2 linked regions of the Callithrix jacchus genome follow. The protein of the gene in region 1 binds, or shares a complex with, the protein of each later gene. Links are inferred from orthologs where the notes say so. Each region holds a gene or a part of one and is shown in the gene's direction. Other genes may lie near its edges.

The links.
Region 2: the proteins of OGDH (region 1) and TCAIM are in contact, whole or in part, in a cryo-EM structure (PDB 8I0K), measured with the Homo sapiens proteins. The link is inferred for Callithrix jacchus from reciprocal best matches to the Homo sapiens genes OGDH and TCAIM. Residues at the interface, in NP_001425937.1 of Homo sapiens: Gly301, Tyr304, Arg323, Tyr354, Arg356, Ile358, Arg364, Asn365, Lys387, Glu391, Tyr394, Cys395, Gly396, Thr398, Glu399, Lys401, Lys402, Lys561, Met602, Pro605, Glu667, Gly668, Ile669, Asn709, Met734, Ala735, Ser736, Pro737, Asn738, Gln772; in NP_001269842.1 of Homo sapiens: Glu214, Gln234, Arg235, Ser236, Trp237, Gly238, His241, Ser244, His247, Ser248, Arg251, Gln255, Asp272, Arg273, Thr286, Met287, Asp288, Val289, His290, His291, Glu331, Leu332, Gln333, Pro334, Val335, Arg375, Tyr376, Glu441, Ser443, His473.

Annotation. Positions count from the first base shown.
Region 1 is NC_133512.1:12,758,609-12,762,423, forward strand, and holds part of OGDH (2-oxoglutarate dehydrogenase complex component E1), read left to right. Parts: intron 1-1,760; coding exon 1,761-1,915; intron 1,916-2,393; coding exon 2,394-2,540; intron 2,541-3,156; coding exon 3,157-3,247; intron 3,248-3,815. UniProt on the Homo sapiens protein: 2-oxoglutarate dehydrogenase (E1o) component of the 2-oxoglutarate dehydrogenase complex (OGDHC). Participates in the first step, rate limiting for the overall conversion of 2-oxoglutarate to succinyl-CoA and CO(2) catalyzed by the whole OGDHC.
Region 2 is NC_133516.1:27,216,436-27,220,250, forward strand, and holds the end of TCAIM (T-cell activation inhibitor, mitochondrial), read left to right. Parts: intron 1-1,568; coding exon 1,569-1,809; 3' UTR 1,810-3,563; downstream 3,564-3,815. UniProt on the Homo sapiens protein: May regulate T-cell apoptosis.

The DNA of each region.
Region 1 (3,815 bases):
CATCATCCATGTGGGCCCACTTCCAACATTGGGGACCAAATTTCAGCATGAGGTTTGTGGGGGGACAAACAGGGGTTAATAAAAATACCTTAACTACTAGGGTCTTTTCTTTTTTTTTGAGACGGAGTTTCGCTCTTGTTACCCAGGTTGGAGTGCAATGGCGCAATCTTGGCTCACTGCAACCTCCACCTCCTGGGTTCAGGCAATTCTCCTGCCTCAGCCTCCCGAGTAGCTGGGATTACACGCACACGCCACCATGCCCAGCTAATTTTTTGTACTTTTAGTAGAGACGGGGTTTCACATGTTGACCAGGATGGTCTTGATCTCTTGACCTTGTGATCCACCCGCCTCGGCCTCCCAAAGTGCTGGGATTACAGGCTTGAGCCACCGCGCCCGGCCTACTAGGGTCTTTTCTAGCAGCACTTTCTCTTCTAGTTTCTAGGCAAGATTGTTCTTTTGTTGACTTGGATAATAACTAGAGTGTTGCAGTTGGTTAATTTTGAATTCAGGCAAAGTTTGCTTTGTTTCATGATCATGGAGCATGTATGCAGGGTTAGCCCACCCTCTGCAAAGCACAGGGCTGGTCTCAGATTCAGCACATCTTTTAACTGCTCATGCCAGCTGGTCTCATTGTCTGTTGTGAAAACCAAATGTGGTCATAAACGAGAGCTGCTGAGCAGGACCTGACACTCTGAGTACGCTGGCAGCAGTCCCTGCTATAAAGATAGTTAGACGCGGCTTTGGGGTCTGCAGAGTGTCTGTTGGCCCACATCAGGGCCTGTCGCCTTTTTACTCCATGCTGACTTGCAGTTTGCTCTCATCCTTTCATTCTGGTCCTCTAGGGCAGCTGTGCAGGTTGAGCTGTGGGCCTCTACAGGAGCACCAGGCTGAGGGCAGCCTGAGATGGATTTTTTTTTTTTTTTTTGGCAGTCTTTCCTCCTCTCCCGAGGTGGATTTCTAAGAGCCCAGTGCCTCCTCTTGCTCCTGGCCCTCTCTTCCTGGCTTCTTCCCTCCTGAGCTCTGCAGATTGGGTGCTGCCTCCTTGCCTGAGCTGTGGGGTATGAACATGGTGCAGGACATCTTGATCTGCTCAGGATCCTGACTTTTGTCTTATGGGCAGTCTTGCTTCCTGAGGCAGAAGGATCATTTTAGCCGAGGAGTTCAAGACCAGCCTGGGCATCATGGTGAGACCTCATCTCTCCAAAACATAAGGCGGGACGATCACTTGAGTGCAAGAGGTTGAGGCTGCATTGGGCCCAGATAGCGCTACTGCACTCCTGCCTCAGTGACAGAGAGACCCTCCCTCAAACAAACAAACAAACAAAAAGACTGCGAATCGTAAACAGCTATTGAGCCTATGACAGCCTATGGGCATTTCCTGTTATGGATGCTGGCACAGGTCTGACCTTGATGACAGTCTGTCCTCCCTGGGGAAGGACACAGTTCCACAACTGTTGCGGTCTATGCTTCTTGCCACAAAGGTACCAGAGTAGAACTGGGGTTGTTCCTTGTCCTGGCCCTTGGAGGGCTAGGAGGTTCTTGTGTGCAAGTGACCCAGGTCCCTGAAGGAAGCACTTGAAGAGGAGGACCTCTGCCTGGTACCCACTCCGTCTCCCCCTCAGTCATACCTGACTGGGGTACCTTTCAGAACAAGCCTCCTGCTCCCCCTCCCACCTTCTGGCTGAACAGGCAGTCGGTACTCTTGATTCAGCCAGGCCTGGTTAGAAACTCCCTTGCCTGTGTGTTTCTGTATGGAATAGATGGCCTACTGCCAGCACATTGGGGTGGAGTTCATGTTCATCAATGACCTGGAGCAGTGCCAGTGGATCCGGCAGAAGTTTGAGACCCCCGGGATCATGCAGTTCACAAATGAGGAGAAGCGGACCCTGCTGGCCAGGCTTGTGCGGTCCACCAGGTATGGGTCTGGCCCTGGGCCATGGGGCACACATCCCCAGGGAAGCAGCAGCCCTGTGTGTGTTGTTTGGGCCTGTGTGCAGCCTGTTGGTCGAGGTGAGAGGGGCTTTGGGGAGGTATAGGCAAAGCTGCAGCTGCACGTGTCTGAAGAGACACCAGGCAGGTAGAGTCAGCCTTCAGAGCAACCTCCGTCTCCTGAGTTCAAGCGATTCTCTTGCCTCAGCCTCCCAGTAGCAGTGATTGTAGGCACATGCCACTACGGCCAGCTAATTTTTATCCATTTAAGTAGAGATCAGGTTTCTCTATGTTGGCCAGGCTGGTCTCAAATTCCTGACCTCATGTGATCTGTCCACCTTGGCCTCCCAAAGTGCTAGCATTACTCCCAAAGTGCAGTGAGCCACTGTGCCTGGCCCAGAGCCCCCTCTTTTTGGTCAGGAAGAGTGACATTGTTCTTCAAGGTGACTTTATTCCATGTCCAGGTTTGAGGAGTTCCTACAGCGGAAGTGGTCCTCTGAGAAGCGCTTTGGTCTAGAAGGCTGTGAGGTGCTGATTCCTGCCCTCAAGACCATCATTGACAAGTCAAGTGAGAACGGTGTGGACTACGTGATCATGGGCATGCCACACAGGTATGGCTGAGGGCGTGCCCCACCTCCTTCTCACCATCCCTGCAGGGTGTGTAGGAGGCACCAGGTAAAGAACTGAGAGAACAGCTGTTTCCTTCTCAAGTGCCAGTTGTGAGCCTGGGCTCATCTGATACCTGCGGGTGCCTTGTTTTGCAGGGGATTCTCACATTCCCTACCTCTGGAAGACTGCAAAGTCACTGTCACAGCCAGAGCCACGTGTAGTTTCAGACTGGCATTTGGCCTTACATTACATTTTTATGAAAGTTAAACCCAGGTTCCCTTGAGGGTTAAGCTGGAGGAAAGGCTGCTTCCTGACATTGGAGGGGAGGCCAAGACTTCAAAAATCGGAGATAGTGTGGGGAGGGAGGAGGGTAAGGAAGCCTCAGGCCCATGGCATTTCCACATCTTCTGCCTTTCTGTTGTCCACTGTGGCCTTGATTGTCTAGCACAGAGAGGCTCAGTGCCCACATTAGCTCCAGTTCACAGCATTCTTGGGCTGCAAACCGAGGAGGTGCTGTGTCCTGGAGGAGGGGAAGAGGGTAGGGATTATAACAGCCTCCCCGTCATCTGGAAGCCGTGACCTCGGGCTCTGCTCACTCTACTCGCCCATACGTTTCAGAGGGCGGCTTAACGTGCTTGCAAATGTCATCAGGAAGGAGCTGGAACAGATCTTCTGTCAATTTGATTCAAAGCTGGAGGCAGCTGATGAGGTGAGGCACCTGTGTAGAGACACATCCAGCAGAGCCCCAACTTACACGAGACCCCCGGCTCCACTTCTTTCTCAGAATAACTTATGAGGGGTTGATTCTTCTGTACCATTGTGGTTTGCCTTCCTTGTTGGAAGAATTTTAGTGTTGGAACAAAGGAGGGGGCCACTGTTCCACCTTCTGGTTGGAGGTCTAGCAGCGCCACGCTGAGTGCAGGGGTATATCCCCTCTGGCTGAGGGACCTTCTCCCTGTGCCCTGGGTAGGAATGATCCTGGGAAAAAGCCTCCATATTCTTCTACGTTGGGTTCCTGGGGTTAGAAATCACATATAAGGCTAGGCACAGTGGCTCACGCCTGTAATCCCAGCACTTTGGGAGGCTGAGGCAGGCTGATCACCTAAGGTTGTGAGTTCCAGACCAGCCTGACCAACGTGGAGAAACCCTGTCTCTACTAAAACACAAAATTAATCAGCATGGTGGCACATGCCTGTAATCTCAGCTACTTCGGAGACTGAGGTAGGAGAATTGCTTGAACCTGGGAGGCGGAGGTTGCGGTGAGCCAAGATTGCGCC
Region 2 (3,815 bases), on another chromosome or scaffold:
AGACAGAAGTTGCAGTGAGCCAAGATCGTGCCACTGCACTCCAGCCTGGGTAACAGAGTGAGACTCCGTCTCAGAAAAAAAAAAAAAATTAATCTCCTGCAGACTGCAGAGGCATCCAAGGATGAGGAGAGGCTGATACAAGTTATTTTTCTGTTGAGAGGACAGCCCTGGGGAACCTTACCAAGGGCTGCCTTCTCAGGACTAGATGCTTCTCTAAGATTATACCCTAGAAGAACTGATGGATTCTCCTGATAGAAAGCTTGTGACCCATGAGTCTGGGAAACTCGGGGATGAGGCTGTAGGCTTCTCCTGAAAGCAATGAGAATGAGAGTCTTGCCCAGATTTTAAAGATGTGCTGTTGGAGAACTATGCAGCAACAAGGTCACACTGCAAGGCTTTTCATTTCTAGGCCTAGTTGTTAGTATCGCTTTTCCTGACAAGTGAAAAATCCCTTTACAGAAAAAGTTCCTCATCCCCTGCTATTGATAGAAGTTTAAGAGCTCTTCCTGTCTCATCCTGCAGAGATTAGAAGCAGGCCCAGCTGGGGCATTTTCAGAACCATCAGTCCTGACTTTCGTCTGTCTTTCTTAAGTCTCTAAGCAGCACTGCGTAGGGAAGGAATCTTACAAAAAAGCAAGCAGCACTTGAGAAGTGATCAGGGTATTGTTAGAGGAAGGGATTTCGTATTATAGGCCAGGATAACTAACTGCTATGACCATTTCTGTTTTTTACTGTCTAGTTTATGGAAATTTTATAGTACCTACTTTTCTATGCAGAGTTTAAGGGTGGTTAAATATAAACTATTTGGACATCTTAAACCAAGGAAGTATTTAAAATAGACCGGTTCATGGACATGACCATGGCAGTTTTGCTTGACTCACTTTGTTAAATGGACTTGCTGAGTAACTCACGTGTTGGTCTAGATGTAGCACATTGAATTCACCTACCAAAGCACCATATCCCTAGGCACTTGCCACCTGTGGGAGAAAGTATTTGAGACTCTGAGTTCTGCCTAGAGTCGTATACTTTGTAGACCTGAACTGAAGCACCTGATGGAATAAAAGGGTTGTAACCTCAGGCAGAGGAAGGGAACAGACAGGGGGCTGGTAAGATAGGAGAGTCAGAGTGAAGAGCTCCTGTCCTCAGGATCCTGGTTTGCTGTGAGCCTGCCGTTTATCTGGGAAATCTTTAGATGGCATTACTGCCCAAGAGTAAAACTTTAGGTGGCTCCTAACGCTAGAGGTTTTATATTTGTTTTCTGCTTTCGTCAGTCACTAACAGCTTCTAGGTAAGGCAATATAAGAGCTTTTTAAATTTTATGTTATTTTTAGCCCTTTACTGCTAAAAAGATGAACAAATACTTCTAGAGATTCACATGGCAGTAACTCAAAAGATTTAATGCATGATGACTTTCAGCATGCCTTCCAAATGTTTAATTTGGCCTTTGTGGGTGGCATTTTCAGTGTTGTGAGTGCAGTTATAGCCCCAGTATGTAAGACTATGTTTACATTGTGTGTTAATTTATTTGGTTGTAGCTTATGGCAATATTTTTATTCTCTATATAATAGGTTAAAGGTTATTGAAAATGAATTGATACAGGCATCAACAAAGAAATTTTCTCTGGAGAAGTTATATAAAGAGCCCAGCATTTCTAGTATGCAAATGGTGGATTGTTGTAAGAGACTTCTAGAACAATCACTGCCTTACCTACATGGGATGCACCTCTGTGTTTCACATTTTTACTCTGTTATGCAAGATGGAGACCTTTGTATTCCTTGGAATTGGAAGAATGGAGAAGCCATTAAATAACACAGAAATCTGTTTTATTTTTTTAAGAGATAAGAAAGGAACTTAAATTAAAAATGTTTAAATCCACAATTTGATATAACAGTATTATTTACATATTATAAGAACAAAGTTTCTCACTGCTGCTTTAAAAGTAGACTTTTAAAATAAATTAATTTCTGCTAGGAAATGTATTTTAAAAAGGTTTTATAAGCCAGGCTTGGTGGCTCATGCCTGTGGTCCCAATTACTTAGGGAGGCTAAGATAGGAGGATCACTTGAGCCCAGGATGCCAAGGCTACAGTGAGCCACTGCCCTCCAGCCTGAGCGACAGAGCAAGACCCTGTCTCAAAAGATAATAATAATTTTAAATAAATAATAAAAATATTTTATATTCCAGTCTTATGATGTTGATTGGCAAGGCTAGATAAAAAGATGTTAGAATGAAATAACATATTTTTAGTGATAGGTAAGTGAAAGATTCTACAATAGTCATATATTTTTATATGAATGAATGTTGGGTTAGGGCTGGACAGGTATACGTGTGTAAATATAAACAGGTCTCAGAGTCAGAGGATAGCTCTGAAATAATAGAACTCATGTCTACAATTCAACATGCACCGGTATAGTTACACCTCATGTATATACACACACATGTATTTTGCAGCCAGTAATTGACAGTTAATGTCCAAAACAGGTGATTCATAGGTAGCAAAAAATAGATAACCACAAATTTGCCAAGAGAAAGACTAGAAGGACTGAAAGCGGTTGAATATATGGTACTGACATTGTCATACGCAGTCTGATAACCAGTTTATTAAAACATCTTCAGTGACAGAGAATTTAATTTGAAACCCATAATTTCTCCTATCCATTAAAATATTTCAACTGTTGGTAGTATGAAACCAACAGGAAATGTTTTTGAATCATTTAACGAGGTGACCCATTTGTTTCATGGCTCACACCATCCATGAACATTCTTGCTTGTTTCCCAAAGAGCTCTAGGAAATAGAATCAAGTGTAAAATGGTTCACACCATTCAGGATTTCTTGTCACCCTTCTCAGCCATGATCTTACTGTTCTTGCTGATGTTTGAAGCCCTTTCATCAGCCCCGGCACGGTTAAAGCCCCTCAGAGTCACCTTCCATTCATAGCAATGTAATTTAACCCCAAGTGGTTGATGGTGACTCTGGCATGGCCGAGAGACCTGATCTCTGGATTCAGTGTTTTTAGCTGAGATTTATTCTAAGATTCCTTTTGGCAATATCTTTAACCAATCCAAAAGCTCTTCAGATCATTTCGGAAGAGGACAAGGTGAATCCTGGTTTGGAACACCATTTTGGGCTCTTGCTGCTGAATGAATCAGAAAGGAATTTTTTCTAAAGAGCATTAGAAAGTAAAGGAGATATTAAAATCAGTTCTTGAAGTATGTTTTATATTTATCTAAAACACTGATTATTTTAAAAGTTTACATTCAAATATGTATTTAAAAGAAGCACTGATTTGTAATTATTCTAGTTTGTACGTCATCCCTTTTAACCGTGCGTAACAACTACACTTCAGTTTTGTTTTCTAGTGTAACAAATGTCTCCTGTGAAGATTTTCCAGAGCCAAATAATGATAGTGAAAAATTCCTTAAATGTTATGTAAGAAAATGTATTGGAAAATCAGGTTTGTGTTGTAGCATTTCTAAAATACACTAATATAGAATCCTCAGTAATATGTTTTGAATTGGATTTTGTCTCAGAACTATTACATAATAAATAATATCTACATCAACCAGATAATTTTTTTCTTGTTACCCAACTATTAGTAGTTTTAGAAATATTCCAGTGTAACAGGAAATTAGAAGAAATTGGTACTTGTATATGCCTATTTGAGCATATATACAGATCTGAGCAGGCAGACTTCCTCTCCCACTCTAACATGAAAGAAAAATTCTGTCCCCCACTGAAAGCTGGCACAGGAGCAGACCCCTCTCACTGTTTCTACAAAGCCTCAGGTGAGAAGTGGTCTCCAAAGGGACCCGAG